7 linked regions of the Mus musculus genome follow. The protein of the gene in region 1 interacts with the protein of each later gene in a biochemical or structural test. Links are inferred from orthologs where the notes say so. Each region holds a gene or a part of one and is shown in the gene's direction. Other genes may lie near its edges. The genes, in order: Plcg1, Fgfr2, Bag3, Eef1a1, Gab1, Pdgfra and Lat.

Region 1 (3,526 bases):
AGATTTGTGACTGGGGACAGACACAATGCTGAGGATTTTGTTAGTGTGCCCCGGAGGGCAAGGTACTGAAAGATCCAGTGGCTGGCAGGCTAGACCCTGCCTGGATTTAGCCTGGAATGAAAAGAAAGATTATAAATAGTGGAGCCCCTGAAGGAGAAGACTACAAAGAACAGTGTGGGGAGTGCCTGAGTAGGCTGCAGCTAAGATCGGGAACGGGAGGAGGAAGGCTGCATTGGCCATGGGGACGTGAGATGGTAAGGTCGTCTAAGGCACACACATTGCCAGGTGGGCTTAAGGCCTTAGTGCTTCAGGGAACCGGGAAGCAGTGTTTTTGCTGAAGGACGAGGCTAGGTAAAGAATAATCAGAAAGCATTATTGGGAGGGCCTTGCCGACCTTAGCTCCATGTGAGGTCATTTGGCACTTAAGTTATGGTGAGACTTCCACCCCAAGAGGGTTGGGGAACAAGTGTATCTGTGGAGACGAAGAAAGAGATAATTTTTGGCCAAAACTGGGAGCCAGTAGTTTTGTTTAGTGTCTGCTGCTATTTAAAATGTGCAAGGAGAGAAGAGGGCCTCAGAACACCTGAAGTGTGTGTGTACCCAAGGCTGGTAGGAGCTTCCTTCTCCTGGGCAGGGCTCAGCCTGGGCCTTGTGTGTGTCACCAGCTCACTGAGGGAAAGATGATGGAGAGGAGGAAGAAGATCGCCTTGGAGCTCTCCGAGCTTGTGGTCTACTGCCGGCCCGTTCCCTTTGATGAAGAGAGTAAGGCTGGGGCCAGGTGTGGTGTGCATGTGCTGAGGGGCTGGTGGCTTGAGAGTGGCGTTTAATACCCTGTCCCTTACATACACTACACAAGGGGGCCGCTCTATACACGCTCTCACTGTTTGGCTCAGAGATTGGCACAGAACGTGCTTGTTACCGGGACATGTCCTCCTTTCCGGAAACCAAGGCTGAGAAGTATGTGAACAAGGCCAAAGGCAAGAAGTTCCTCCAGTACAACCGGCTGCAGCTCTCGCGCATCTACCCTAAGGGCCAGAGGCTAGACTCCTCCAATTATGACCCTCTGCCCATGTGGATCTGCGGTAGCCAGCTTGTAGCACTCAATTTCCAGACCCCAGGTGAGGGGGTCTCTGTGGGTGGGGAGAGACACTTAGGGCAGTTCCACTGGAGCACACTGTAATCCCACTCTTGCAGACAAGCCTATGCAGATGAACCAGGCCCTCTTCATGGCTGGTGGGCATTGTGGCTATGTGCTGCAGCCAAGCACCATGAGAGACGAAGCCTTTGACCCCTTTGATAAGAGCAGTCTCCGAGGTCTGGAACCCTGTGTCATTTGCATTGAGGTGAGTATATTTGTCTGGGTTCTTCAGGGTGGGAAAGGGTTATGAAGACCATTGATACTAAACCTGCTAAGAAGGTGGCGACCAGGTGGGTCAGCACAAGTGGGAAAGGGTACAGGGCCAGAGGTGAGCAGCATTTCTGCTTTACATTGGGGAAGAGAACTTATCTTGGTCTATTCCTGAGCTTGAAGTAGGACCACCTGAAGTGGAAATCCAGCTACAGGTTCTCTGTGAGGTTGGGATCCCAGGGGTAGCATGGCTGATCATGGCCAGTTTTTGGCACAAATGAGTTAGGATGTCGGGTTAAAGCTAACCTGTGAAAAGTCACTACCTGGAAGGAAAAACCTGGTCAGAATGACACAAATCAGGCTAAAAGGGGCCTGTGCTGAGCCAGGCTCCTGTCTGCAGGACCAAGCAAAACCTGAGCTTGCTAGAGCATGACCAGCAGCCTGTTTGCCTTTCCCAGTTCCTAGAATAGAGCTCCCCAGTCCATGTCTGGTGAAATGCTGTGATCAAGGGTCAGCTCAGCCTTCGCTATGGGAATCAGCAGGGGTGGCCTGAACAGTCTGGAAAGAGTAAGAATAGTCTATGGCCAGCTGAGCACACTTAGGAGCACAGAGCCACAGATGGACATGACTGCTACTTTCCAGATATTCCCTCTAAAGTGGAATAATTTAAAAGATTCCCACATTGGAACAGACATGGATTTAACATGAAATGGACTGCCAAGTACGCATGATACTTAGCTAAAGCTCAGGGTTTTACAGCCAACAGCTTGCTCTGGAGTGAACAATGAGCGGCCTAATGGGCAGCACCTTCAGGGCCCAGCAGGGGGCATACTGCCTCCATGGTGCATTTTCCTCCACGATTTGCTCCCCAAGCTTCTGCTGGGAGGATGTTCGGGGTGCTGGGGGGATGTCATCACCCCATCTCTGCCTGCCTGCCTCACAGGTGCTGGGGGCCAGGCATCTGCCGAAGAATGGCCGGGGTATTGTGTGTCCTTTTGTGGAGATTGAGGTGGCTGGGGCTGAGTACGACAGCACCAAGCAAAAGACGGAGTTTGTAGGTAAGTCAGTCTTCCCTCATTACCCATCATTCCCCTGGGGTGTTAAAGACCTCTCCACCAGTCATCACATCCCGTAGATGTGGCCTCAGCTTTTGCCCTTGCTTTCACAGTGGACAACGGACTGAACCCTGTGTGGCCTGCTAAGCCCTTCCACTTCCAGATCAGTAACCCAGAGTTTGCCTTTCTGCGCTTTGTGGTGTATGAGGAAGACATGTTTAGTGACCAGAACTTCTTGGCTCAGGCTACTTTCCCAGTAAAAGGCCTGAAGACAGGTGAGGAATCTTCCTTATAAAGTCTTGCTGTCAGGATGGGGCTTATCCACTTGCTTGACACTTGATAGGCTGAGAGCCAGGTATTTCTCTTAGGATATAGAGCAGTGCCTTTGAAGAACAACTACAGTGAAGACCTGGAGTTGGCCTCCCTGCTCATCAAGATTGACATTTTCCCTGCTAAGGTAACTACAGCAGCGTGAGCAGAGAGTTCAGTCATAGCCCCTGAGATGCAGAAGAGACCTCAACTTTTGTGCACTTCCCTTGCTGAGCAGGAGAACGGTGACCTCAGTCCTTTCAGTGGCATATCCCTAAGGGAACGGGCCTCAGATGCCTCCAGCCAGCTGTTCCATGTCCGGGCCCGGGAAGGGTCCTTTGAAGCCAGATACCAGCAGCCATTTGAAGATTTCCGCATCTCGCAGGAGCATCTAGCAGACCATTTTGACAGTCGGGAACGAAGGTGAGGGAGATGAGGGGAAGTTAGCCAGTGTGGGACCTTGGAGGAAGGGTGCTGGAGCCAGAAAGATCAATCCTTTGGCAGCTTTCTCCTCTGTGGAAAAGGGATAACCGTGTGTCTTGGGTTGTCCTGTCTGGCTGCAAGGCCAGTAAGGACACTTCACTTCTGTTCAGGGCCCCAAGAAGGACTCGGGTCAATGGAGACAACCGCCTCTAGTCAGACCCCACCTAGTTGGAGAGCAGCAGGTGCTGTCCACCTGTGGAATGCCATGAACTGGGTTCTCTGGGAGCTGTCTACTGTAAAGCCTTCTTGGTCTCACAGCCTGGAGCCTGGATTCCAGCAGTGAAGGCTAGACAAAACCAAGCCATTAATGATATGTATTGTTTTGGGCCTC
Region 2 (3,526 bases), on another chromosome or scaffold:
AAGGAGATGCAGCTTGAGAATAATCATGTTTGGAAATACACTGCTTGTAGATTGACCAGTTGAGGAAGAACCAATATAGTTGACAGAAGAATATGCTAAATTAATCACAGTTCTGCTCACATGCAGTACCATCATACATTTAAAGGTTCAGTAACAAGTCAGGATAACTGGATATACAAACATTTTATTGGTTCTTAAGTATTATATATATATATATATATATATATATATATATATATATATACATACATACATACATATCTACACATACACATACATATATATCATATATTATATATGTGACTATCTCAAGATTGATACATCTGTTTGTTTAACTGAATAAATATTCTGGACCATATGAAGGGACTTGCCAAAACATTTTGGGCCAGCCTACTAGTTGAGTGTGAGCCCTTTGGAGCTACCATCCTCTGGGGTCCTGTTGAACCTTCCCCTGGAGGCACCTCCCTAGCTAGCAAGCATCATCCCTGTCTCCTTAGAAGCAACAGTGGATGAGGTCCCTTTTAATAATTCTGTTTGGTTTATGTCGAGCCGCCATCATGACAGACAGTCCTCCTGTGGTGGGTGTCCTGGGTGTCCTGCTATGACCAGGGGCTTAGCAGAATGAGGCCTTGTAGTCCCCCATTACAGTCTGGTATCAGCTGCTCACTGGTGGCAGATGCCCATTGAGGCTGGAGAAGGCAGCTGCCTGGGCTGTAGTGATAAACCGAGGAACCCTTGGCTCTTTGTTAGCATTTGGAGAGGCCCAGGCAGGAGGCCCATGGCTGCTCTGCATCTGGGTATCTCTGTGCATTGACCTGTAGATAGGGAAGCCCTTGATGTCTTTGGCGTCATTCCTTGAAGTGTGCTTCGATACATCCCTCTGGTATCCTAACTCTGTGGCCTGCTTATTTGTCCCTCTCCCGCGGATCTGCAACCCAGCGCCTGTGAGAGAGAAGGAGATCACGGCTTCCCCAGATTATCTGGAGATAGCTATTTACTGCATAGGGGTCTTCTTAATCGCCTGCATGGTGGTGACAGTCATCTTTTGCCGAATGAAGACCACGACCAAGAAGCCAGACTTCAGCAGCCAGCCAGCTGTGCACAAGCTGACCAAGCGCATCCCCCTGCGGAGACAGGTAACAGAAAGTAGATAAAGAGTTTGAAGAAATTTACTCCCCTCCCCCACCCAGCCAGCTCTTGGATCTTCTTCCCTCTGATTTTCCCCCTAACTTCTGTGAGCTCCAGAACTGCAGGCAATTCTAATCTGCCACTGTGTGGAGGTTCAGTCAGCGGTTGGGACTAAAGAGCATTAAGTCACAATGCTGCTCTGGGCTTGGTAGGCTGGCTCTGGTTTTAAAGGACAAGAGTGTGAAGACTGGAGCTGCCCAGTGGGATGGGCAGAGGAGGCCATGCCCTCTGCGCCCCTCAAGCTCACGGCTCCTTTGGGAGAACAAGCATTTGGTCTGGCTCCATTGCTTCTGTATGAGGCCAGATGTTCGGGTTCAAGTTTTACCCTTCATAGGAAAGAGAGTTTAATTTTCTTTGATTTACTATTTTAAGTAGAGATCAGAAACAGAGGATGGAGGTATACCTGAACTAATGCTTGCATAAAAGTGGTCTGTGATGTCTTCTAAACTGGGTTTTGGCTGATTTTGTCTGGTTTTTAAAACGCTGTATGCGTATAGTTTATTGTTACAGGTTTGGCTAGGGATTCAGTGATAGGATGATTGTGTGTGTGTGTGTGTGTGTGTGTGTGTGTGTGTGTGTGTGTGTGTGTGTGTGTGTGTTTGTATTTAGGTTATAAGTACATGTGTGCAGGTGCCTGTGGAGACCAAAAGAGAGTGTCAGGTCCACTAGTGCTAGAGTTTATCAGCATAGGTGGTAGGAATTGAACTCTGGTCTTCTAGAAGTGCAGCAAGCACTCTTTAACCACTGAGCCAGTTCTCCAGCCCCCAGATACGATGATTGCTATGTAGAACAGGGAGAAAATTACCTTTAACCTTGAGCTTGATCTTTGATGGCTGGCTTTGGGGGAGGTAAGGCAATAGAACCTTCCCTGTGCCATAAAACAAAGCCCTTCAAAGGTGGATAAGGAAAAAATGCTTGACTTCTGTACTTGCTCCTGGATTCCAAGAGCCAGGCATGTGTGGGTGTAAATCTTTATGATAAGATTCGGAACTTGATTCTGATAAGATTGTCACTATTTTTTTTAAATTAGCAATGGAAATGAACAACCTGGCCTGTGCTATGGGGAGGTGCATCTTAGTGTTTGTTAAAACTGCATATTCATTAGTTTCAACCCTAGAAATTCTTATTTAGTACTTCTTGAATGGATCTGTAAGAGTCTGCATTTTAAACACTTTCTCGGGTGATACTGTGTAATACCTTAAGAATCTCTGGGTTCAACCCAACCCTGCCTTTCCTGGGCCCTTTCTGTGGACAAGGTGGGAACTAGCAGGTCAGTAGTGGCTTGGACACAGGGCCTTGGCTGTTCTCAACCTAGCTTCACACTACAGGCTGAGCAGGTCCTTGTCAACGTCCTTGAAGCCTCGTTTCCAACAGGTGTTTCTTGCAGAGGGTTAAGATATAATTTGGAGCATATGTCAGATGCAGCCTTTGGCCAGCTGTTGAATGTGGAGTCAAAAAGGCTCAGTTGGGTTCCTTTTAATCCTGAGAATGCTGTGCTACTTTGAGTGACACCACTGTCATTTGTGGGACCATAGAAGCTAGATGGTGCTGAAGTTAAAGTTGGTTGCCTGAATGAGTTGCTGGAAGAGTCCTTAATAAAACTCTTACCTGGCTAGATAGTGTTAAGGCTTCAGGCTGAATGGCCACTCCTTTGGCCACTCCTTTGGCTACTCCTTCACAGCCTCTCCTGATCTCTTAGCCCTGGGCCATTCTTAACATCTGGACTCTGGTCTAGGGAGTTTAAGTAAAGGGAGCAATGTCCTGTCTCATTTGTTTTTATAATAGAGAAAAGAAGTAAAATCCATAAGTTGAGGTAGATAGGCCATTGACCCTTAATTATTTCATCATTTAAAAAACTGATGTGTGTGTGTGTGTGTTTATACATGTGTGCTGGAGCTCTTGGAAAGCTGGAAGAGAGCACTGGATCCCTCAGAGCTGGAGGGCCGGTAGTTGTGAGCTCTCTGATGTGGTGCTGGGACTAGAACTCGGGTCCTCTGCAAGAGCAGCAAGCGCTCCTAATCACTGAGCCATCTATCTCTCCAGCCTGCATCACTTTTAAAGAAAACTCTTTCTATTTCTCCATTTTCCATTTCCATTTCCATCTTTTTACATTTATATATTACATTTATATATTTATGTAGCTTGGGCACGTGTGCGTTTGTGTGGGGGCATGCACATGGCATAGCAAGGTTAGTGAAGGTCCTTTTGAAATGGTGGCCAGGGGACAACTTACATGGGAGCCAGCACCTTTCTCTACCACGTGATTCCCAGGAATCAAACAGGTCAGGTTCAGTCAGGTCATCGTATCTGATGACCGATTTTGTTGACTCCATCGCTT
Region 3 (3,475 bases), on another chromosome or scaffold:
GCTTCCTTCATCAGTGTTCCTATTCACACTGGGCTCCCTGCTTCACAGAGAGCTCAGAGTTACTCTGTTCAGTCCTTTCGGGTGGACATCAACCATTTTGGACCTAAGCTGGAGATAAATTCAGGATGGCAGCTCGGTCTTCAGGGCGTGCCACTAAAGGAAATCCAGCGTTAGGTCAGAAAGGCGACAACTTTAGCCCTGAGGTTCACCATTTCGAGGTCTGTCGCTAGTGAAAGGGTATATTGCTCATTCGGTTCTGAGTTGAGGTTGTGGCCGACAGATGGGGTAGGGTTGCTAAGCAGTTATGCCTTCCTTTTCCGTCCTCCTCTCTGCAGCGCGTCCCCTGGGTCCGTTGGCTTTGTTACTGAGGACGAGCCCTCATTTCCTGCATGCGTCATAGTCCTGATTGTTTTTAGCCTCTGCTTGTGTTCACCTTCACCATCAGGGGTGAAAAACCATACGTAATGTGGGGTACTGGAGATTTCTGTCCTTTCTCGGAGATGTGTTTCCTACGTCTGTAATGTTCCTCCGGTACAAGTCAAAACAACATCAGAGATATTAGAAAATTTAAGCCAACAAGGCCTTTAGTAGCTAACCACCTGGAGAGCAAGCTCCCTCAACCTTCTAGATGACTAGAAGATAGATTAGAACAGAAAGGGACCTGGCCTGCACCCAGACACAGGCAGCTCCCAGATGCTTCACTGCATTCTCCAATAAGAGGTTAAGCGGAAATAAGGAGACATTCAGTAACAACAAACACAGCGGCCCACACCCTTCCTGTGCATGCTGCTGCCTGCCAACGCACAGGCACAGATGCAGCCAGTTAATCCTCAAAGTAACCGTGAGGTGGGTAGGCAGGCTGTCCTTTTCCCATATTTCAGGCAAGGTGCAGAGAACGGTCGCGCTTCCGAGTGTTTGAACCCTGGCTCTTTTATTTTAGAGCTCTGGGAGCCTTGTGTGGGCTGGACAGGTGCTCTCCCGAGGAACTGTGTCCCCAGTCCTCGAGGTCTTAATATACTATATTTGTTAAGTGGAGTGGTGCTGGAGATTGAAACCAGGGACACACTGAGCACAGAAGGACACACAGCCCGTATCCTCACACTTTGAAAATGTTTATAGCAGGAGAGCTTTGTGGGATGTGTTGTCCTGGCCAGGTGGTGTCTGGTGGCTATTTGGAGTGCCAGGGCAGCAGGATCATTCACTCGTGCCCTTTGTCTCTTGCAGCGATCTCAGTCTCCAGCTGCCTCTGACTGCTCATCCTCTTCCTCCTCGGCCAGCCTGCCCTCCTCCGGCAGGAGCAGTCTGGGTAGCCATCAGCTCCCCAGGGGCTACATCCCCATCCCCGTGATACATGAGCAGAATATCACCCGGCCAGCAGCCCAGCCCTCCTTCCACCAAGCCCAGAAGACCCACTACCCAGCTCAGCAGGGTGAATACCAGCCCCAGCAGCCTGTATACCACAAGATCCAGGGCGATGACTGGGAGCCCCGGCCGCTTCGAGCCGCTTCTCCATTCAGGTCACCCGTCAGAGGTGCTTCCAGCCGGGAAGGCTCGCCCGCCAGAAGCGGCACACCGGTTCACTGCCCATCTCCCATCCGTGTGCACACAGTGGTTGACAGGCCTCAGGTATGGAGAGTCATTGGTTGACAGAAGTGCAGATGGCTAAGGCAGGCTGAGAGGTTCTGCAGATGCCCTGGGATTCCTCAAAGCTCAGTCTCATCAGCATAGCACAGCTGGAGACAAGCAGAATTCTAGAAGTTTCTGGTCAGGGGCTGTTGAACCGTCAGTAGTCTCCACGGCTTTTTCCATTGCAGCTGCTCTAGGGGCAAAGGGGGGAGCCTGTGGTAAGGTTGTCAGTCACTCTCACCTCTATGACCAAGTTCCTTAATGTGCATCGTACCTTTCCTGGTCTTTCCCTCCCCCCGCTCTCACTCCAACCACAGTGTACATTGTTTCTCTTTCTCTATTTCTCTTCTACCAGGCATTCTCTTGATCCCTCTGGGCATTTGCTCAGGCCCTAGTTTCTCCCTTCAAGGCAACTCCCTCCACGCCTTGCACCGAGTTCCTTAGGATTCAGTTTGTGATTGTTTTGTGCAGACCAGATGGCCCTCTTATCTCTTAAGCTCTGAGCCTGACAGCAAGGGACCTTGTCTGAGACATTCCCCCACCCCTTTTGCAGTAGGGTACTGTGGTTCCCGGCTGGCACATTAGTGGACAGTAGTGAAAAGCCATCCTGGTGTGTTGGATAACATGGGCACAGCCCTGCTTATCCTGCAGTGAAGCTAGGGAGAGATGTTAGGGAAACCAACAGCCTGCAGCTCAGAGGGCAGGACACTCAGTGTCACTGGGCTCCCAGCTGTAACACTGAACAGTCGAATTGCTCTTTGTCATAGTTTTGAAAATGAAATCTCCCTGCGAGAGATTTCCAAAAATCCAAATGTGGAATGTCTTTCTCTTACAAACAGTGATAATATCTCCTCCTGGGACAGGAAACCCTCCTTTTTGTTTGTATCTGCACGTGTTGTGCATGCATGTATGTGGTACATGTTTTGGGCGTGTACATGCACATCCTTGTGAAAGCCCATGGTTGATGTGAGTCTTCCTTGATCAGTGGCTACCTTTTCCATTGACGCCGGGTCTCTCACTTGAACCCAGCGCTTGCCAGTGCAACTAGTCTAACTGGCCAGCTTGCTTCACCGGTTGGTTATCTTATCTCTGCTTCTTGAGTGCTGGGATTTCAGGTGGACCACCACACCCATCCAGCTGTCTCCTGGGTGCCCTGGGGAATGCAAACTCTGGCCCTCACACGTGTGCAGCAGGTGTTTGACCTGCTGAGTCACCTCCCCTGTGCTGTCTTTAGCTTTTTTTATTTGGAAACAATTTCAACCTCTCTGAAGACCTGTAAGACTCATACACAGAAGACCTGTGTGCTTTTCAGAGTCCTCTGTTGTGCTTGGCTTTGTGGAGCCAGTCTCTCATACAGCCCAGGCTGGCTCCAGACTTGCTGTATGTCTGGGGGTGACTTTGAACTTCGGATCGCCCTGCTTTTGTTTCCCTCGTGCTCGGGTTACAAGGTGCACCGCTGGGTTGGGTTCACGTGGTGCTAGTATCAAACCCGAGGCCTTTTACACACTGTGCAAACACTGGCAATTGAGCTGCATCCCCAGTGCCCCCTGCCACCCCCGGCAATGCTCGCTGCTGTCATTTTCTGTCACTTCTTCCTCTACCATCTGCTTACTTGAACTGCAGGAGACTTACTTGCAAATATCATGGCCTTTTACTTCTGGACACTTCAGCAAATATTTTCCCTAAGAAATACAACCATAGTAGGATGGCCAGATTCCGGAAATTTAATGCTCTTCCAATAGCATATTATCCAGTTTGCCATCCACTTTCAAATTTCCTACCCAGCACTTTCCCATGTTGGGACCTGATCCAGGAGTGGAAACACTGACTTTAGATGTCACTTCTCTTT
Region 4 (4,144 bases), on another chromosome or scaffold:
AATGCTCCTAGTAAGGTTGGTGCAAGAACATCAAATGTTTGTAACTGGGAAGTGATGTTGTACACCTGGGAGAGGAGATCCAATGATGGATAATCAGATAGGATATCTTTGAGCTAGGAACTGTAACTTGGTGATAGACACCCTAGGGTTCCATCTCCAGCACCCCATATCCCATTACAAAATAATTCTTTTTCCATCTCTAGCATTAAAAAACAAAACAAAGAAGTTCTTCTTTCCTCTGAGAAACACTTCTGTGTGCCTGCTCTGAGAGGCATTTAAAAATGGCCAGGGCTTTAATCCCAGCAGGTCCAGGTCGGATTCCTGTGAATTTGAAGTCAGCCTGGTCTACTACCTATTCCAGGGCAGCCAGGGCTAAAAAAGAGAGACCTTGTCTCAATAACAAAACAATGCTGGTATGATCGCTAGAATTGCAGCAAAGAAAGGGATGTAACTAACAAGGCAAGCCATTTTTGAGAAGCAGTGATTTCACAAGTGTTAGGGATGGGCGCTGGGAGATTGCTGATGCTGGTATTTAGATGAGACCATGTGGGGTGGATTAGATTATTTTCAGGTTTCTCATGTTCAATCAAATGGCTGTACATACACATGTACACATACAATCTTTTTAGTGTAACAAACCTAGAATCAAAGTAAAGCTAACTGTAGGATTGAAGCATATTCTGAACTGAACCCTTAGGGGTGTGAAGGCCGCTTCAGGTTTCCAGAGAATCAACCGGCATTGGATGGAATAAACCAAGGGGCCAGCCCAGGGGCAGATCGGTCGAGCTCTCCGCTACTGAGCTAAGCCCTTGGGTTCTAGAGCCGGGAAGGGTCCCCAACATTGTGTTCCTCTCCCAGCCAGGAGAGCATGGGCTGCGGGAGGCGAACAGAAGGATAGCGGGGCTGACGTCGGGAGGTGGCCTCCGTGGGAAGGGACACCCGGATCTTGACACAGCCTTGGCAGCGGAGTAAGGAAGAGTAGGGATAGATTCTGGCCGCCCTCTTGGCCAGCTTCTCGCCGCCCCACCCTCCGCTAGGGCCAAGAGTAATTCATACAAAAGGAGGGATCGCCTTCGCCTGGGGAAGTCCCAGGGACCGTCGCTAAATTCTCATAACCCATAATCCCGGTACCCGCCCCACCACAGTGCGAGGAGCATGCGCTCAGGGCTGAGCGCGGGGAGAGCAGAGCACACAAGCTCATAGACCCTGGTCGTGGGGGGAGGGGCGCACTGAGCGGGGGGGGGGGGGGTGATGGGGGGGAGGACCGGGGAGCTGGCGCGGGGCAAACTGGGAAAGCGGTGTCGTGTGCTGGCTCCGCCCTCTTCCCGAGGGTGGGGGAGAACGGTATATAAGTGCGGCAGTCGCCTTGGACGTTCTTTTTCGCAACGGGTTTGCCGTCAGAACGCAGGTGAGGGGCGGGTGTGGCTTCCGCGGGCCGCCGAGCTGGAGGTCCTGCTCCGAGCGGGCCGGGCCCCGCTGTCGTCGGCGGGGATTAGCTGCGAGCATTCCCGCTTCGAGTTGCGGGCGGCGCGGGAGGCAGAGTGCGAGGCCTAGCGGCAACCCCGTAGCCTCGCCTCGTGTCCGGCTTGAGGCCTAGCGTGGTGTCCGCGCCGCCGCCGCGTGCTACTCCGGCCGCACTCTGGTCTTTTTTTTTTTGTTGTTGTTGTTGCCCTGCTGCCTTCGATTGCCGTTCAGCAATAGGGGCTAACAAAGGGAGGGTGCGGGGCTTGCTCGCCCGGAGCCCGGAGAGGTCATGGTTGGGGAGGAATGGAGGGACAGGAGTGGCGGCTGGGGCCCGCCCGCCTTCGGAGCACATGTCCGACGCCACCTGGATGGGGCGAGGCCTGGGGTTTTTCCCGAAGCAACCAGGCTGGGGTTAGCGTGCCGAGGCCATGTGGCCCCAGCACCCGGCACGATCTGGCTTGGCGGCGCCGCGTTGCCCTGCCTCCCTAACTAGGGTGAGGCCATCCCGTCCGGCACCAGTTGCGTGCGTGGAAAGATGGCCGCTCCCGGGCCCTGTTGCAAGGAGCTCAAAATGGAGGACGCGGCAGCCCGGTGGAGCGGGCGGGTGAGTCACCCACACAAAGGAAGAGGGCCTGGTCCCTCACCGGCTGCTGCTTCCTGTGACCCCGTGGTCCTATCGGCCGCAATAGTCACCTCGGGCTTTTGAGCACGGCTAGTCGCGGCGGGGGGAGGGGATGTAATGGCGTTGGAGTTTGTTCACATTTGGTGGGTGGAGACTAGTCAGGCCAGCCTGGCGCTGGAAGTCATTTTTGGAATTTGTCCCCTTGAGTTTTGAGCGGAGCTAATTCTCGGGCTTCTTAGCGGTTCAAAGGTATCTTTTAAACCCTTTTTTAGGTGTTGTGAAAACCACCGCTAATTCAAAGCAAAAATGGGAAAGGAAAAGACTCACATCAACATCGTCGTAATCGGACACGTAGATTCCGGCAAGTCCACCACAACCGGCCACCTGATCTACAAATGTGGTGGAATCGACAAGCGAACCATCGAAAAGTTTGAGAAGGAGGCTGCTGAGGCAAGTATAAGGCAAAAGGAGGGATGGGAATTCTTTAAGCAGGGAGTAGAACCTAGGTCTTGGGTGTACTAATTAGAAGTCACTTTGCAGATGGGAAAGGGCTCCTTCAAGTACGCCTGGGTCTTAGACAAACTGAAAGCTGAGCGTGAGCGTGGTATCACTATTGACATCTCCCTGTGGAAATTCGAGACCAGCAAATACTATGTGACCATCATTGATGCCCCAGGACACAGAGACTTCATCAAAAACATGATTACAGGCACATCCCAGGTGTGTAAAATTTACCCATTCCTGACTCAGGATATTTTTTAGTGGGGTGCTTTCTCTGAGATAATGGTATATGATTGTCTTGTTTCTTACAGGCTGACTGTGCTGTCCTGATTGTTGCTGCTGGTGTTGGTGAATTTGAAGCTGGTATCTCCAAGAACGGGCAGACCCGCGAGCATGCTCTTCTGGCTTACACCCTGGGTGTGAAACAGCTGATTGTTGGTGTCAACAAAATGGATTCCACCGAGCCACCATACAGTCAGAAGAGATACGAGGAAATCGTTAAGGAAGTCAGCACCTACATTAAGAAAATTGGCTACAACCCTGACACAGTAGCATTTGTGCCAATTTCTGGTTGGAATGGTGACAACATGCTGGAGCCAAGTGCTAATGTAAGTGACTTTTAAGGTAGTTGAATGGAGAAAGCCGCAATAAGTAAGGAGGTTATAATTGACTGCCTGTGTTTTAGATGCCTTGGTTCAAGGGATGGAAAGTCACCCGCAAAGATGGCAGTGCCAGTGGCACCACGCTGCTGGAAGCTTTGGATTGTATCCTACCACCAACTCGTCCAACTGACAAGCCCCTGCGACTGCCCCTCCAGGATGTCTATAAAATTGGAGGTAAGTAGAATATTAAGTAGAATGTTGACGTGAATTTGAAGTCTTATGTTTTGTGTATTAAATACTTATACAAAACAATACTATTTTAGGCATTGGCACTGTCCCTGTGGGCCGAGTGGAGACTGGTGTTCTCAAGCCTGGCATGGTGGTTACCTTTGCTCCAGTCAATGTAACAACTGAAGTCAAGTCTGTTGAAATGCACCATGAAGCTTTGAGTGAAGCTCTTCCTGGGGACAATGTGGGCTTCAATGTAAAGAACGTGTCGGTCAAAGATGTTAGACGAGGCAATGTTGCTGGTGACAGCAAAAACGACCCACCAATGGAAGCAGCTGGCTTCACTGCTCAGGTGACACATTTTTAAGATAGGTGGCTAGATTGGTTGTGTGTGCAGAATCACAAGGCAAGACTTAAATACACGCTGTTTTTCTTAGGTGATTATCCTGAACCATCCAGGCCAAATCAGTGCTGGCTACGCTCCTGTTCTGGATTGTCACACAGCCCACATAGCATGCAAGTTTGCTGAGCTTAAAGAAAAGATCGATCGTCGTTCTGGTAAGAAGCTGGAAGATGGCCCCAAGTTCCTGAAGTCTGGCGATGCTGCCATTGTTGATATGGTCCCTGGCAAGCCCATGTGTGTTGAGAGCTTCTCTGACTACCCTCCACTTGGTAAGCCTGATCTGAGTCTGCTACACTGAACATCAAGTTTGTAATAGGAAATGTT
Region 5 (4,134 bases), on another chromosome or scaffold:
CATTTCAAAAGCACTTTATGGCAAAAACAAAGGGCACTGTCTCTTCTTATATGCAAGGGCTTTTGTCTTATTATTAACTTAGCATCTACTTTTCTTTTCTTTCTTTAATTTCTTCACTCCTGCCTCCATGTCTCTCTCTAGTCTTTCTTTCCCTCCCCCTCCCCTACCTACCTTGGCAGGCCTGGGATTACAGGGGTTCTGCCAGGCAGGGCTCCCAGCACCTTTTCCTCTTTACGACCCCCAAGGTTTCAGACTCAGAACACACATTTATTAGGAGAGCCCCAAACTCATGCTTCTCAGAAATGCTTGTTTATCTATTTGTATTTTCACACAAACTCCCTTTTTGAGACAGGGCCTCTTTATGTAGTCCTGGTCGCCTTAGAACTCACTTTGTGGACAAAACTGGCCTTAAACTCACAGAAATCTGCCTGCCTCGGCCTCCCAAGCGCTGGAATTAAAGACATGCATCACCATGCCCAACTCTTTAAAATTTTTGTCTGATTATATTGCCTTCTAAAATTTGTTCCAAGGCTTTGTTTCAAACACACCCGTAAAGAAGAGTCTGTTACAAGACTGTGTCAAACTCAGCCCAGATATAATAACTGTAAAACACACAAAAAGGCAAATAGAATTAGGGTACCCAGAATGATTTCTTTTCCTGTCCAACATCCTAGCGCAGGTTTTAAACAAACACAACGCCAACTGGAAGAAACAGCCCATGAGTGGAAGCAGTGTGAGACTTTATCCTGTCTTAGAGATACACGCAGCTGAACGCTTTGTGGAGGCTAAGCGGTAGCATCACTCGGTAGAACAGCTCCTGGGTCAGGCCCTAGGCACCCAGGAGGTCCCCCACCCCCTTGGTCTCTGGGTGCACAGTGAGGGTCCTAGCGCGCTCCTGGTCCGGGAGACGCAGTCCTTCAGTCTCTCGAGCAGCCAGGACCCGCTTGAGTGAGTTCTCCTCCTGGCTGGGTTATTTTTTCAGACTGTCAAGTAGGGAAATCCTTCCGAAAACTCTGGATCGCGAAGGCACAGCCGAGTACAAACTCCTGACCCTGGGGGTTGTCAAGATGGCAAACTCAGTCGGAGCTGGCGAGAGTGCCCGGCACTCCCGCTCTCACACTGGGGTGGCGCTGCGTTCCCGGAGACCGCCGCCTTCCATAGCGCGCGGGCCCGGGGCGGCGGGGCGGCGAGGACCCCAGCGCGCCTGCTGACTACAGATCCCAGGGTGCCTCTGCCATCTCGCTCCCTCCCAGCGCCGGCCCCGCCTCCCCAGCCCTTGTTGTTTTGGCTGGAAGCGCTCCGGAGGAGTTTCAGAGAAAGTCTGGGCTGAAGCTAGAGGCGACCGATCGTGGGAAGGGGAGGCAGAAAGGCTAGGAGGAGGAGGGCCGGGGCCCAGGCCGCGCCTCCCCGAACCCGCCGCGCGCCCCCGGGGTGGGGGAGGAGCGCAGGGGACAGGACAGAGGGGTCCCTCCCCGAAGCAGAGCCGCCCTGCGCCTCGTCCCTGTGCTGATCCCCGCCCTCATCCGAGGCTGGAGCGCAGACCCACCCTCCCACCGCGGACCCGCGACCTCCCCGACGCCCGGCGACGCCCTGACCCTCGCTGCTGGTCCGCGAACTCCCTAGGCTGATCAGGACCTGCCCCTGTGCCGGCTGCCACCCGGACGCCGCACGCCTTCCCAGGCGCCCTTTTCCGAGCAGAGGGAAAGAGAAGATCGAGCCCCTCTCAGTGTGAATGCGCCAACGGGCGGAGCGGAGCGGAGCGGACACCGCGCGCGGGCATTGTGTGTGCGCGTGCAGCGTGGGGTCCGCAGCGGGGAGCACCCGCGGGAGGTCCCGTTTCCAAGGGGCGGAGCGCAGGGCTTCCAGTTCTGGGCTCCCTGTCCGGACAGAGTCCCAGCGGAGCCCGACCGCTGCCTAGGCGGCGGGACGGCGCGCCTGGCGGCCAGGAGGGCGCACTGAAAGAAGGTCGGCGAGCCCTGGTCCCCGCGGTTCCCGATCGAGTTCCTCTTCAGTCCGCGAATCTGCGGGAGAGGTTCGATCGCCGACACAGGGCGCGGGGAGCCGGGCCGCCCCGTCGGGGGAATCTGAGACGTCCTCTGGGCTGCGTTTGACTGCCGTGCCCGCCGTGCACGGAGCGCGTCCACTGTGTCCACCGACCCCTTTGGTGTCTGGTCCTCGAGTCCTCACGGCGTGCACCATGAGCGGCGGCGAAGTGGTTTGCTCGGGATGGCTCCGCAAGTCGCCCCCGGAGAAGAAGTTGAAGCGTTATGTAAGTACAGGTCAGGTCACCGTCTGCCCCGCTGCAGCAGCCTGCGCGCCCGGTTGGCTCTTCCACGAATCCCGCCCTCCTTTTCCTCGATCCGTCTCTCGGCCGGCGGGCTCCGGACCGGGTGCGGTCCACTCCCACCCTGACGTCCACTCGGCGGCCAAACTTTCTCCCTCCATATTGCAGACTGCCTCCCTTGTAGGCCTCGTTGCCTGTTAGAGAAGCCCAGTTTTCCAGCTCAAAACTGGCTGCATACTTTGGTTGTTGTTATTTCCATTTAGCAAGGGTGGAGTGAAACAGGGAGAAAGAGCCTTCTTTTATTATCTGTATCAGATTCTCATGGAGCTGTTAAATCTCCCCTCCCCGAGAAACCGCGGAGGTAGTAAGTACTCATGGGTTCTCGATTGGGTCCGCGCCCGCTCTCCTTTGCGCCTCCAGGAGGTGGAGGGAAGTGAACTGTGGACGCAAGAAGTGGATAATATAGGCAAACTTCTCAAAATATTCGCTCAAGGGAAAGGGGAAAAAAGTTCTTATGAACCCTGCCGTCTGCTTAGCATTTTCATGGTTTTGCTTTGAGGACACTGGATTTTGGCCTGAGAACCCTGGCGGTTTGATTCGGCAGGAGGGCGCTGGGGGGAGCCTGGTGGCTGGTGTTTGGGCGCCTTAGAAGCGCTGTCAAGCCCCGCAGGAGGGGACAGCTGAAGCCAACAGGGATTTCTTGATGCTGGCGTTTCTTTTCCCGGGCACCAGAACGGCTTAACTGGTATTTGCGTAATTGATTCAAGATGCTGATTGTGAGATGACTGTGTTCACGGTTAGGAAAACTGTATCTTGAAGGAGCCTATAATACTTGAGTGGAACTATATCCTCATCGGGAATCTAGGGTCCTAAGTCTTCCTTCAGATTGGCTAATTTTGCGATGTACCCTGTCAGTAAAGAAATGACACTTTGTACCGGCATTTGAAACAAGTATTTTTAGGGTGAAATGTGTTTCCCAAAAGCAAAACGTGTACCCACTTAATTAGAGTTTACTACCTGTTTTGATGAAACCTGTTTCTGGTGGAGGGGCGTCTACACCAAGAATCATCGGACTACTCGCTTGCTTGTGTGAAACCAGGCAATATTTATTTTCACGGAGCTCACCAGCGAGTTTCGGGCTCACCTTCTGGTATAATTTAATACAGCCAAGTAATTTCATTGAAAGATGTGATTTGACAAATTGTCAGAGGTTCCCCAAAGATGTCTCTCCATCTGTCACAGTTTGCTTGGATTTCTTGGTAAAGATGGCAACTTGATTCCAGAAATTTGAGAGTGGCAGTGACATCTTCAGAATTAGTTCTAAAGAGACGATTGTGGTGAGGCGATGAGGGGTGAGGAGATAGAGGTAAGGCACTATTTAGGAAAGACGGTTTTAGGATTCTTGAGGAAACTAAAGTACAATATATTTGCTGATCATGCAGTCCGGTGCATTCTTTCATTACTTATGGCCTGCCAGACATACTGAGTTCTGTACTAGGCACCAGCCACAAGGTAAGGAGAAAAGCCTTGCAGGGAAGGAAAATGACAACTAATAAGGGACAGATATGGTGGTATTATATGCCCAATACCACCCAGCACTCCAGAGGCAGAAATGGGAGGCTCCGTGGACAAACTGGTCTCCATAGCAGATTCCAGGCTAGCCAGGACCGTGTCTCAAAAATAGAAAACACAAGCACAAAAACCAAATACAGCTGATTATTTATAAAGATATTAATAATAATATGATTATGTTTACTTATATGTATCATTATATGACCACAGCAATGTTCTCCCACAAAAGTCCCAATCATGCCAAACCTGTTAGCTTCTGAATCAGGGAAGAGTGATTG
Region 6 (4,220 bases), on another chromosome or scaffold:
GCAGGGCAGTCACCCGAGCTGAAGATACACCAGAGGCGGGCGTGCAGAAGGGCGGAGGAGAATTGGGGCTCTCAGCCCAGCTCCAGGCATCCTCTTCCCGAGCCTGATATCCCCACGGTCGGTCCTGTCCCATTTAGGGACAGCACTCGGCATTTCGGGGAAACCTCTGTGATTTACGCCAGAGCCTCAGGTCCACTATAGTGGTGAAATAACCGATGGTTATTCGACGTTTTGTTATCAACCTGGTCACCTTGTCCATTTTAATTTTGATGTGTGAGATGGAGGTGGTGGTGGTGGTGGTGGTGGTGGTGGTGGTGGTGGTGGTGGTGGTGGAGATAGAGGACTTCTCACACCCCCCCCCCCACACACACACACCAAAAGCATTCAAAAATAGAGCGCAAGTCGAAGGCCCTCCCTTCCCCCACCCGCTCCGGGAAGTCCCGCTTCGCCCAGGTTTGGTTCCTGGAGTGTCAGCGCCCCCTTTCCCTCGCCAGCAGGATCGCCGTGTCCCAACTGTCTCTCGCTGGGTGTCTTGGGTTCCCTGGTTTGTGGCTCAAACGTCCTGAAAGCTTTCCTAGGGTACGTCGCGTGCGACCCACTCGGAAGGGTGGAATTTAGGAGGATAAAAATCCTTCTGCCATCAAGATGCAGAGGGCAGGCATTTGGTAGTCACGCCTAGCCTGAGCGTTTTCATATGAAGATAGAAGAAGCGAGGACCAGATAACCCCCGAAAACAAAGGCAGGACCAGATAAGTGGCTCCGAAGGGATAAAGGTCGTTCTTTCCTTCTTCCGGAGAACATCCCAAAGGTACGCCGAGCAACCGTTATTTGCACACCGCCTCACAATCCAGCCTTTCAAAAACCCATCATCTTCCTATTAGACTCCACAGTTTCCTAATCCCATTAAAGGATTAGCAACTACACGGCACTTTCCCTTAAGACCCCCAGTTCAAAACGACGCAGCCGCGTTAGAATTTCTCCCCAGGGCCATATTTCTAGCGAGGCCCAGACTGTCTATAGAAAGGATAATTTGAATTCTAGATTTATATTCGTTTTAGAAATGAGCAGCAATTTTACGTGTATTTTCTTTTCGAAGAGAATACAAAACAATAGCACCCCCACCCCCAAATTGGGAAGTCAACTCATTTTGGAAATGATGGCTGTTTGTAGTTTCCTGAAACCTCTTTCCCGGCAGAACGTCAACACCTCCCCCTTCGGCCCCCCACCCCACCCCATCTGGTTTGCTCCCCCCTCCTCGTTGTTGTTGAAGTCTGGGGGTTGGGACTGGCCCCCCTGATTGCATAAGAGCAAAAAGCAAAGAAGAGGTCTTGAGCCTGAGAGAGTCAGAGAGCAAGGAGTCCTAGGGAAACTTTTATTTTGAAGAGACCAAGGGGGGGGGGGACTTCATTTCCTGACAGCTATTTACTTTAAGCAAATGATTAGTTTTTGGAGGACGGACTATAACATTGAATCAATTACAAAATGCGGGTTTTGAGCCCATTACTGTTGGAGCTTGAGGGAGAGAAACAAACGGAGGAGCTGCGGGGAAGGACTGGAAGCTTGGGGCTTACTTTTCACTCCGGGTATCGGATTTTCTTTGCAAATTGACATAGAAGGAGAAGGTAAGGGAGAGGAAAAAGTGACTTTTGTTTCTCAAGAAGGTCCCTGATCATAACTTGGGGCTGCAAGAAGCTAAGTAACTTCAAATTTTGGGCAACGAGGAAAACAAAAACAAAACAGCTGAGTTCAGTGGTGTGTCCAGAAAGTAACTTATTCTGAATAAACTTCACTGGAATGGGGGGTGTGGGGGGGTAACCATTAGAGAGTCAAAGATAAAAAAAAAAAAAGAAAAAGAAAAAGAAAATGAAAAAAAATCCAGACCTATTTTTAAAAGCAATGTTTTTTTTTTTTTCCCTACACAATCCTATAGCCTTCCAAAGAAATTGTTAGGCTTACATTTTTGAGGTTTTCCTCCAGGGTGGGGGTGGCGTTCGTGCTTACTGGGACGAACACCAAGTAACATTGGGGGGGTGGAAGCCGCGGCGCTTGGCCTCTTGGCAGTGGGTCACGGAAGAGGACAGGTTTTTAATGAGTATTTTCATTCGTCGCCCGCGGTTTGGCGGGACTACGCTGTAGCGGGTGGTGCGGCGCGAAGCTTGGGGAGGGGGCGCACCAGGAGAAGTGTGTGTGTGGAGGGGAAAGGGGCGCCGAGTGGGGCGCGGGAAAGCGCTAAGAAAAAAGGGAGGTGTGAAGGGCTCGGCTGGAGGAGGTCGGACCTCGGATGCCGGCCGGGCACACTCGGCGCCAGTCGAGCCCTCGTAATTACTGGACGGCGCTGCTGTTGGAAACATCTGGGGCCAGACTTGAGCGCGGCGGTGGCGGCTGCAGCACCGTGAGAGGGGCGCGCGGGCGAGGGGCGCAGCTCCAAGGGTTCCGGAGAGATTGGAGCGAATTACTTGGGTGCTAGAAGCCTCGGGCGGAATCCGCAGTGCGCTGGGATCGTGCGCCTCTCACTCCAGCGACGGAGGCAGCGGCGGCAGCGGCGGCGCGGACGAGCGATCTGGAATAATGACAAACACATTTGGCCTCGAGTGAAGAAGTCGTCCTGGCCTCGCATTCCAGCAACTGGGATTTGAGGAATTTCAAACTGCACTCCGAGGGGCCCTCATTGTGCTCCGTAGTCCCCACCCCCACTCGGCTCACTTGCGTCTCCAGTGGAGTCTTTTCTGCACGGCCGGGGGTTGGGGGGGCCTGGCTCTTGCTTAGTCCTGGCCGCAGGCAGCAAAGAGGCAAGATCCCTGGCTAGGAGCTGACCTCTTGTGAAGAAGTCAGGACATCTCTGAAAGGACAGACGTGGGTGCAGGTAAGCAGAAATGTAAGAGGCCAACCACCCTCGCCTCCTGCCTACGGAACTCTGGGTGCTTCTCTGCCCTGGGATGATGGATGCGAGGCACTGGTCGCCTGAACGCAACCTTTCCAGTGCCCCCCCCCCCCAACTTTCCTCCCAACGCTCAGTATCCTGCAAAACTCAGGGGCGGTCTCCGCGCAGCCTTCCCTCCTTCACCGTTATTCCCTTGGAAATCAGTTTATACATGTGAGATTAACTTCCCTCGAGCAGGGCCGGGAAAGCAGGAAGCGATCTCTTGGCTTTGAAGCTTCTGAGGTCGGCGATTCTTTCTGTTTGGAAGGCGTGTGGGGCAGTCTGCAGAGTAAGGCAGTATGACTCGGCCCTGGTCTGCAGCAGGACCAAGCCAGAGCCTCGCAGCCAGGTGTGCAGGAGTTGCCAGTGACTTGGCGACCAGCCTTGGCGAGAAAGGAAGTGTTGGCCTGTTTGTCTGCTGTGGGGAGTCCTTGCAGAACCCGCGCTTAGAAACTCCCAGGTCTGCTAAGACCTCTAGAAGACCCGGAGGGTGTGCATGGGGGAACCCAAGCTGGGGAGGGGGCGTGGGTGGCACTTTTAAAAGTCTGGGCTGCCCAGCGTCGGACAGAGCTGCCCAGAAAAGCCCCAGGCTGGGCGGTGTGGGAAACGGCTTTTTGGCTTCGTGGCGGAATTGCTCAATGTTTTGGACTGAATTGCTTCTCCTGAATGGTTTCGGATCAGTCTTAGGCAGCCTTGAGGAGCCGGAGGAGGCCTCTAGTGTAAACCCACACTGTGGTCTGCAGCTGTACAGCCCCAGATTTAACACCCAAAGTCTCAGAAGAGGCTCGGGGCTCAGGGCGCTCCTCGGGCGCACCTCTTCTGCCGTCGCACTGGAGTTTACATAACCTCTCTTAGGCTCGGATTTTCCCCTGACCAAGGCTTTCCATCTCATCCTTCCTCTCGTCCTCTTTCTTTGCAAATTCCTCTTGATGAGGACTCCTTCGATTTCCCAACAGGAGTGTGTGTGTGTGTGTGTGTGTGTGTGTGTGTGTGTGTGACACACCAATTAATTTGTCGCCGTGGTCAGTTCCTGCTTAGGAACCCTTGCAAAAGTCCTGTTTTGGGTTGTCTCTAGTACAGCTGGGTTTCTAAAGCTCGCGGGAGAGAAAGAAAGAAAGAGAACACAGTCCAACTCCACTGTTTATTGCCCCGGATCCCTTCTTTTGCTGGAGTCTGCAGACCCGCAGGGTTCAGACTCAGAACCTGGCCTCCCACTTCTGGGCCCAGGGGCTTCTACTTTCTTCCTGGGCGCGGGCTGGGGAGAGATGCAGGGGGAGGGGCTTCAGGCTGCAAACGCGTC
Region 7 (4,007 bases), on another chromosome or scaffold:
CTTTGGGTCTGTCTGGAAGTGGATTGGGCTCTGTCTGTGTGCAGTTCTGAGGGCTCTCCATGCTGCCTCATCTGGGCCCCTCTGCCTGTGTCCCCTTGCTGCCTGTGTCCCCTTGCTGGCTCTTATCTTACTGGCCTTGGCTCTGACCCCTTTCTCGCAGGTCTGTTGCATGAGTCTGGGCCCTCAGATGACCGGATTGTAGTACCTCAGCGAGGCCGTTCTACCCGAGTCCCCGTGTCCAGCGTGCTCATCTGAGGAGCCGGTGCTTACCCGGCCACTGATGCATCGCAGCTGGGCCTTGGGCCCACCCAAGACGGTTCCCAGGCAGAAGCCCTCACCAGGCCCAGGTCCAAGAAGGAAGCCCTGGGATATCTCCCAGCTCCCAGACACTACATGGGCAGCCCAGGGAAGAGATGGGAGTCCAGAAACGGGGAAGGGGTGTCCTCTCTACTAGGACAGCCCAAGGGGTTTGGTGCTATTTGTAATGGAATAAAATTTGTAATCAGACTCCTGACTGACTGCTTGTCTCTCTGTGGGTGCCACTGGCCTCAGGGAATATCCATAGTCCCAGGACTTAGCAGGGGCTGTCAGGTCACCCTGTGGGTAAGTCCCTGTCTTCTGAGCTTGGTAATCTAGAAGGAGGGCTGCTCTTTTCTGAGTGAGCTGGTTCAGTATGACTGTGACTCACCGTGGTCCCCTGGAAGTCGCTCTCCCAGTAGTTAAGCCTGGGAGCTGGGGGCCTGTGGTGCCCTCAGTGCCCTCGGTCCACACAGGCCTTGGCAGAGCCTCCTTGCAGTTCTCCCACCCGGGCATGGGGAGGGTACCGCGGGCCTGGTTGGCACGTGTCTCCTTTCCTAGTGGACGGGCTGCCTCATCCTGCAGCCTTAGACCCTTCCTCCACACAGTCCCTCTGCCTCCTCCCCCTTCCCACAACTGGGTGGGGGTGAGTGGGCAGGGGGCAGGCTCAGCCTGCTGAGCAGCCTGATGATTTCCTGCCCTCACCACAGCTTCCTGTCGCACGCGGTGGTGAGCAGGAGAGGCAGGCGGGGAGCAAGAAAGGGGCAGGTACAGCTGGGCACGGGGATCGTGCAGCTGGTAGCTGGGGCACGGGCCCCAGCTCTGGCTCTGGGGCGAGCACCTTTCCAGAGCCAACACTGCTCTCAACTCAGTCCAGCAAGAGAGGGGAGCCATCCAGCCCCGAAAGGATACGGCTGCCTACTGCCGGGCGGATCCCAGGCTGGAGCCCGCTTGGTCCCATACCCCTGCTGCCACTCTGTCTCGAGGGGCTGCAGTGCAGCAGGGCCTGTGGCAGGTGCTCTGCAGATGGAAGCAGACGCCTTGAGCCCGGTGGGGCTGGGCCTCCTGCTGCTGCCCTTCTTGGTCACGCTCCTGGCTGCCCTGTGCGTGCGCTGCCGTGAGTTGCCAGGTAAGTGGGAAGCTTTGCGGAACTGGATGATGGGTGGGCGCTCCATTGGATCCTCATACCCTCCCCAGCCCCTGCACTCTCCACTGTCCCTACCTGGGCCCTGATTGATGGTGGGGGGCCTGAGTTTCTTTGTCCCTGGTGCACCCCGATCCTGACTTGTTGGATTTCTTTCCTCCAGTCTCCTATGACAGCACTTCCACAGAGAGGTGAGTGGGAAGCCCGTGTCCCTGTGTGTCTTCCCTTGGTTCCACTCAAGGGTTTGGGGCTGGGGCCCTCTTGGCCCTGTACCCAAGCTGTCTCTTTCCTGCCAGTTTGTACCCAAGAAGCATCCTCATCAAGCCACCTCGTGAGTTCAGTGTCTCTGGCCCTCCTCGAGGGTTTTTAAGAGTGTGCGTTTGTCCTTGTTCACCTTTAGCTGTCTGAAGGGCTGTTCCCTGGCTTGGGATGGGGAAAGTGGGAGCCCCCATGTCTGTCTAGGGCATGTTATTTTGGGGTCCATTTGTCCTTCGAGGCCTTGATGGGGGGTGTCTGGAGCCATCCCTCAAGCTTCATTCTGTGTCCTCAGAAATAACCGTCCCCCGAACACCTGCTGTTTCCTACCCTCTAGTCACTTCCTTCCCACCCCTGAGGCAGCCAGACCTGCTCCCCATCCCGTGAGTATCCCCCAACTCCGTCCCTTGGGTCTACTGTGCCTCTCCACCTTCTAGGTTGGGGAGGCGCTTTTTCCTGGTTGTCTTGCTCCCAGAGTCCTACCTAGACGTAATCTCTGACCTTTGGCTTCCAGGAGATCCCCACAGCCCCTTGGGGGTTCCCATCGGATGCCATCTTCCCAGCAGAATTCAGATGATGGTAAGGGTGTAGGGCACAGGAGGGCTTTGGGGAGGATGTACAACCTGAGCTGATCCAGTCTTCTTCTCCCTCTCTCTTTGAAGCCAACAGTGTGGCAAGCTACGAGAACCAGGGTGGGTCTGGGGTCTGGGGTAGTGGGTGGGGTGGGGAGGCTGGACCTGTCCAGGTCGTGTTAACTCTCCTTTCTCACAGAGCCAGCCTGTAAGAATGTGGATGCAGATGAGGATGAAGACGACTATCCCAACGGCTACCTGTGAGTGGGTAGAGGGGAGGTGACCGTGGAAGTTGTGTGCCCTTTATCAACTTCTCGTTCCTTCCTTTCTTCCAGAGTGGTGCTGCCTGACAGTAGTCCTGCTGCCGTCCCTGTTGTCTCCTCTGCTCCTGTGCCTAGCAACCCTGACCTTGGAGACAGTGCCTTCTCTGGTGAGTCAGGCTTTCTGTCTACCTCCCTCTGCCATGTGCTGCCAGCTCTCCACTCTTGCCTCCCTCTCACCTCCGTGACGATTGCCGCCCTTCCATTTCCTCCTGTAGACGTTGGGCTTCCTGCTCCTCATCACTTCCGACTGTCTTGTTTTTCCTTCCACCTTTGCTCCTTCGTCTCTGTTGTCTAAGAAATTTCCTGACTCTTTTTGAACCCTGCCATTGAAATTTCATTTCTCGGCTGGGTGTGAGGGCCTACGATCCCAGCATCAGGAGGCAGTGGCAGGAGGGTTGAATTTGAGGCTAGCCTGGGCTACATAGTGATACCCTCTCTTCGAAAACCAAAACAGCACGACGATCAACAAAAAGAAAACAAAAGAATTTATTTCTCTTATCTGAAAGTCCCCCTCCCCTTTTTTGGCGTCTCGGTTCTTTTTGTATAGTACACTGTTGTTTCTTGGAAGCAATATCATCTAATGTATCTATAAGAACTTTGATTACATAGCCGGGTGGTGGTGGCGCACGCCTTTAATTCCAGCACTCGGGAGGCAGAGGCAGGCGGATTTCTGAGTTCAAGGCCAGCCTGGTCTACAGAGTGAGTTCCAGGACAGCCAGGACTACACAGAGAAACCCTGTCTCGAAAAAACAAAACAAAACAAATTTTGATTACAGATTGTTTCTCTCTGTGTCTCTATCCCTCTCTGGTTCTGCCCGTCTCTCTGTATCTCTGCCCGTCTCTCTGTATCTCTGCCCGTCTCTCTGTATCTCTGCCCGTCTCTCTGTATCTCTGCCCGTCTCTCTGTATCTCTGCCCGTCTCTCTGTATCTATCTCTGCCCGTCTCTCTGTATCTCTGCCCGTCTCTCTGTATCTCTGCCCGTCTCTCTGTATCTCTGCCTGTCTCTCTCACACACACTCACTGAAGATTTATTCTGCGTACCACATGGTCGTTGTTTCTCTTGGGCTGCTTTTCTCTGCTTTGGTCTTTCTCCTTCCTTGAGCTTTTCTCAAGTTCTGGTGATCTTCAGTTTTCTATCCTCTTATCTCTGTATAGCATGAGTATCCCTTACCTGAAACACTTCAATACAGATTTGGGAATATTTATAAACATATAATAAATTCTCTTGGGGATGAAACTCAAGATAAAACATGTAATTAATTTATTCATGTTTTATACAAACCATATATGTAATATATACACAGTCTGAAGATAGGTTTTTGTTTTGTCTTAGTTTTATTGGCATAGAGCGTCATTGTATAGTCCTGGCTGTCCTGGAACTTGATATCTAGACCAGGTAGACTCAAACTCAAATT

What was found.
Region 2: the proteins of Plcg1 (region 1) and Fgfr2 form a complex in vitro, tested with the Homo sapiens proteins (2 studies listed by BioGRID and IntAct). The link is inferred for Mus musculus from reciprocal best matches to the Homo sapiens genes PLCG1 and FGFR2.
Region 3: the proteins of Plcg1 (region 1) and Bag3 form a complex in vitro, tested with the Homo sapiens proteins (2 studies listed by BioGRID). The link is inferred for Mus musculus from reciprocal best matches to the Homo sapiens genes PLCG1 and BAG3.
Region 4: the proteins of Plcg1 (region 1) and Eef1a1 form a complex in vitro, tested with the Homo sapiens proteins (2 studies listed by BioGRID, with this or other methods). The link is inferred for Mus musculus from reciprocal best matches to the Homo sapiens genes PLCG1 and EEF1A1.
Region 5: the proteins of Plcg1 (region 1) and Gab1 form a complex in vitro, tested with the Homo sapiens proteins (2 studies listed by BioGRID and IntAct, with this or other methods). The link is inferred for Mus musculus from reciprocal best matches to the Homo sapiens genes PLCG1 and GAB1.
Region 6: the proteins of Plcg1 (region 1) and Pdgfra form a complex in vitro, tested with the Homo sapiens proteins (2 studies listed by BioGRID, with this or other methods). The link is inferred for Mus musculus from reciprocal best matches to the Homo sapiens genes PLCG1 and PDGFRA.
Region 7: the proteins of Plcg1 (region 1) and Lat form a complex in vitro, tested with the Homo sapiens proteins (2 studies listed by BioGRID and IntAct, with this or other methods). The link is inferred for Mus musculus from reciprocal best matches to the Homo sapiens genes PLCG1 and LAT.

What each region holds. Positions count from the first base shown.
Region 1 is NC_000068.7:160,758,789-160,762,314, forward strand, and holds part of Plcg1 (1-phosphatidylinositol 4,5-bisphosphate phosphodiesterase gamma-1), read left to right. Parts: intron 1-665; coding exon 666-762; intron 763-893; coding exon 894-1,118; intron 1,119-1,194; coding exon 1,195-1,343; intron 1,344-2,291; coding exon 2,292-2,406; intron 2,407-2,516; coding exon 2,517-2,678; intron 2,679-2,771; coding exon 2,772-2,860; intron 2,861-2,950; coding exon 2,951-3,135; intron 3,136-3,526. UniProt on the Homo sapiens protein: Mediates the production of the second messenger molecules diacylglycerol (DAG) and inositol 1,4,5-trisphosphate (IP3). Plays an important role in the regulation of intracellular signaling cascades.
Region 2 is NC_000073.6:130,193,788-130,197,313, reverse strand, and holds part of Fgfr2 (fibroblast growth factor receptor 2), read left to right. Parts: intron 1-939; coding exon 940-1,142; intron 1,143-3,526. UniProt on the Homo sapiens protein: Tyrosine-protein kinase that acts as a cell-surface receptor for fibroblast growth factors and plays an essential role in the regulation of cell proliferation, differentiation, migration and apoptosis, and in the regulation of embryonic development.
Region 3 is NC_000073.6:128,540,583-128,544,057, forward strand, and holds part of Bag3 (BAG family molecular chaperone regulator 3), read left to right. Parts: intron 1-1,224; coding exon 1,225-1,626; intron 1,627-3,475. UniProt on the Homo sapiens protein: Co-chaperone and adapter protein that connects different classes of molecular chaperones including heat shock proteins 70 (HSP70s), e.g. HSPA1A/HSP70 or HSPA8/HSC70, and small heat shock proteins (sHSPs), e.g. HSPB8.
Region 4 is NC_000075.6:78,478,903-78,483,046, reverse strand, and holds the start of Eef1a1 (elongation factor 1-alpha 1), read left to right. Parts: upstream 1-1,322; 5' UTR 1,323-1,408; intron 1,409-2,358; 5' UTR 2,359-2,392; coding exon 2,393-2,536; intron 2,537-2,626; coding exon 2,627-2,806; intron 2,807-2,898; coding exon 2,899-3,195; intron 3,196-3,272; coding exon 3,273-3,423; intron 3,424-3,512; coding exon 3,513-3,769; intron 3,770-3,854; coding exon 3,855-4,089; intron 4,090-4,144. UniProt on the Homo sapiens protein: Translation elongation factor that catalyzes the GTP-dependent binding of aminoacyl-tRNA (aa-tRNA) to the A-site of ribosomes during the elongation phase of protein synthesis.
Region 5 is NC_000074.6:80,877,667-80,881,800, reverse strand, and holds the start of Gab1 (GRB2-associated-binding protein 1), read left to right. Parts: upstream 1-1,321; 5' UTR 1,322-2,197; coding exon 2,198-2,269; intron 2,270-4,134. UniProt on the Homo sapiens protein: Adapter protein that plays a role in intracellular signaling cascades triggered by activated receptor-type kinases. Plays a role in FGFR1 signaling. Probably involved in signaling by the epidermal growth factor receptor (EGFR) and the insulin receptor (INSR).
Region 6 is NC_000071.6:75,150,836-75,155,055, forward strand, and holds the start of Pdgfra (platelet-derived growth factor receptor alpha isoform 1 precursor), read left to right. Parts: upstream 1-1,415; 5' UTR 1,416-1,622; intron 1,623-2,100; exon of another isoform or gene 2,101-2,863; intron 2,864-4,220. UniProt on the Homo sapiens protein: Tyrosine-protein kinase that acts as a cell-surface receptor for PDGFA, PDGFB and PDGFC and plays an essential role in the regulation of embryonic development, cell proliferation, survival and chemotaxis.
Region 7 is NC_000073.6:126,366,567-126,370,573, reverse strand, and holds the start of Lat (linker for activation of T-cells family member 1 precursor), read left to right. Parts: upstream 1-1,323; coding exon 1,324-1,426; intron 1,427-1,604; coding exon 1,605-1,632; intron 1,633-1,737; coding exon 1,738-1,772; intron 1,773-1,991; coding exon 1,992-2,079; intron 2,080-2,210; coding exon 2,211-2,275; intron 2,276-2,358; coding exon 2,359-2,388; intron 2,389-2,467; coding exon 2,468-2,528; exon of another isoform or gene 2,529-2,603; coding exon 2,604-2,698; intron 2,699-4,007. Other genes in the region: Spns1 (protein spinster homolog 1), read left to right, coding at 161-255. UniProt on the Homo sapiens protein: Required for TCR (T-cell antigen receptor)- and pre-TCR-mediated signaling, both in mature T-cells and during their development.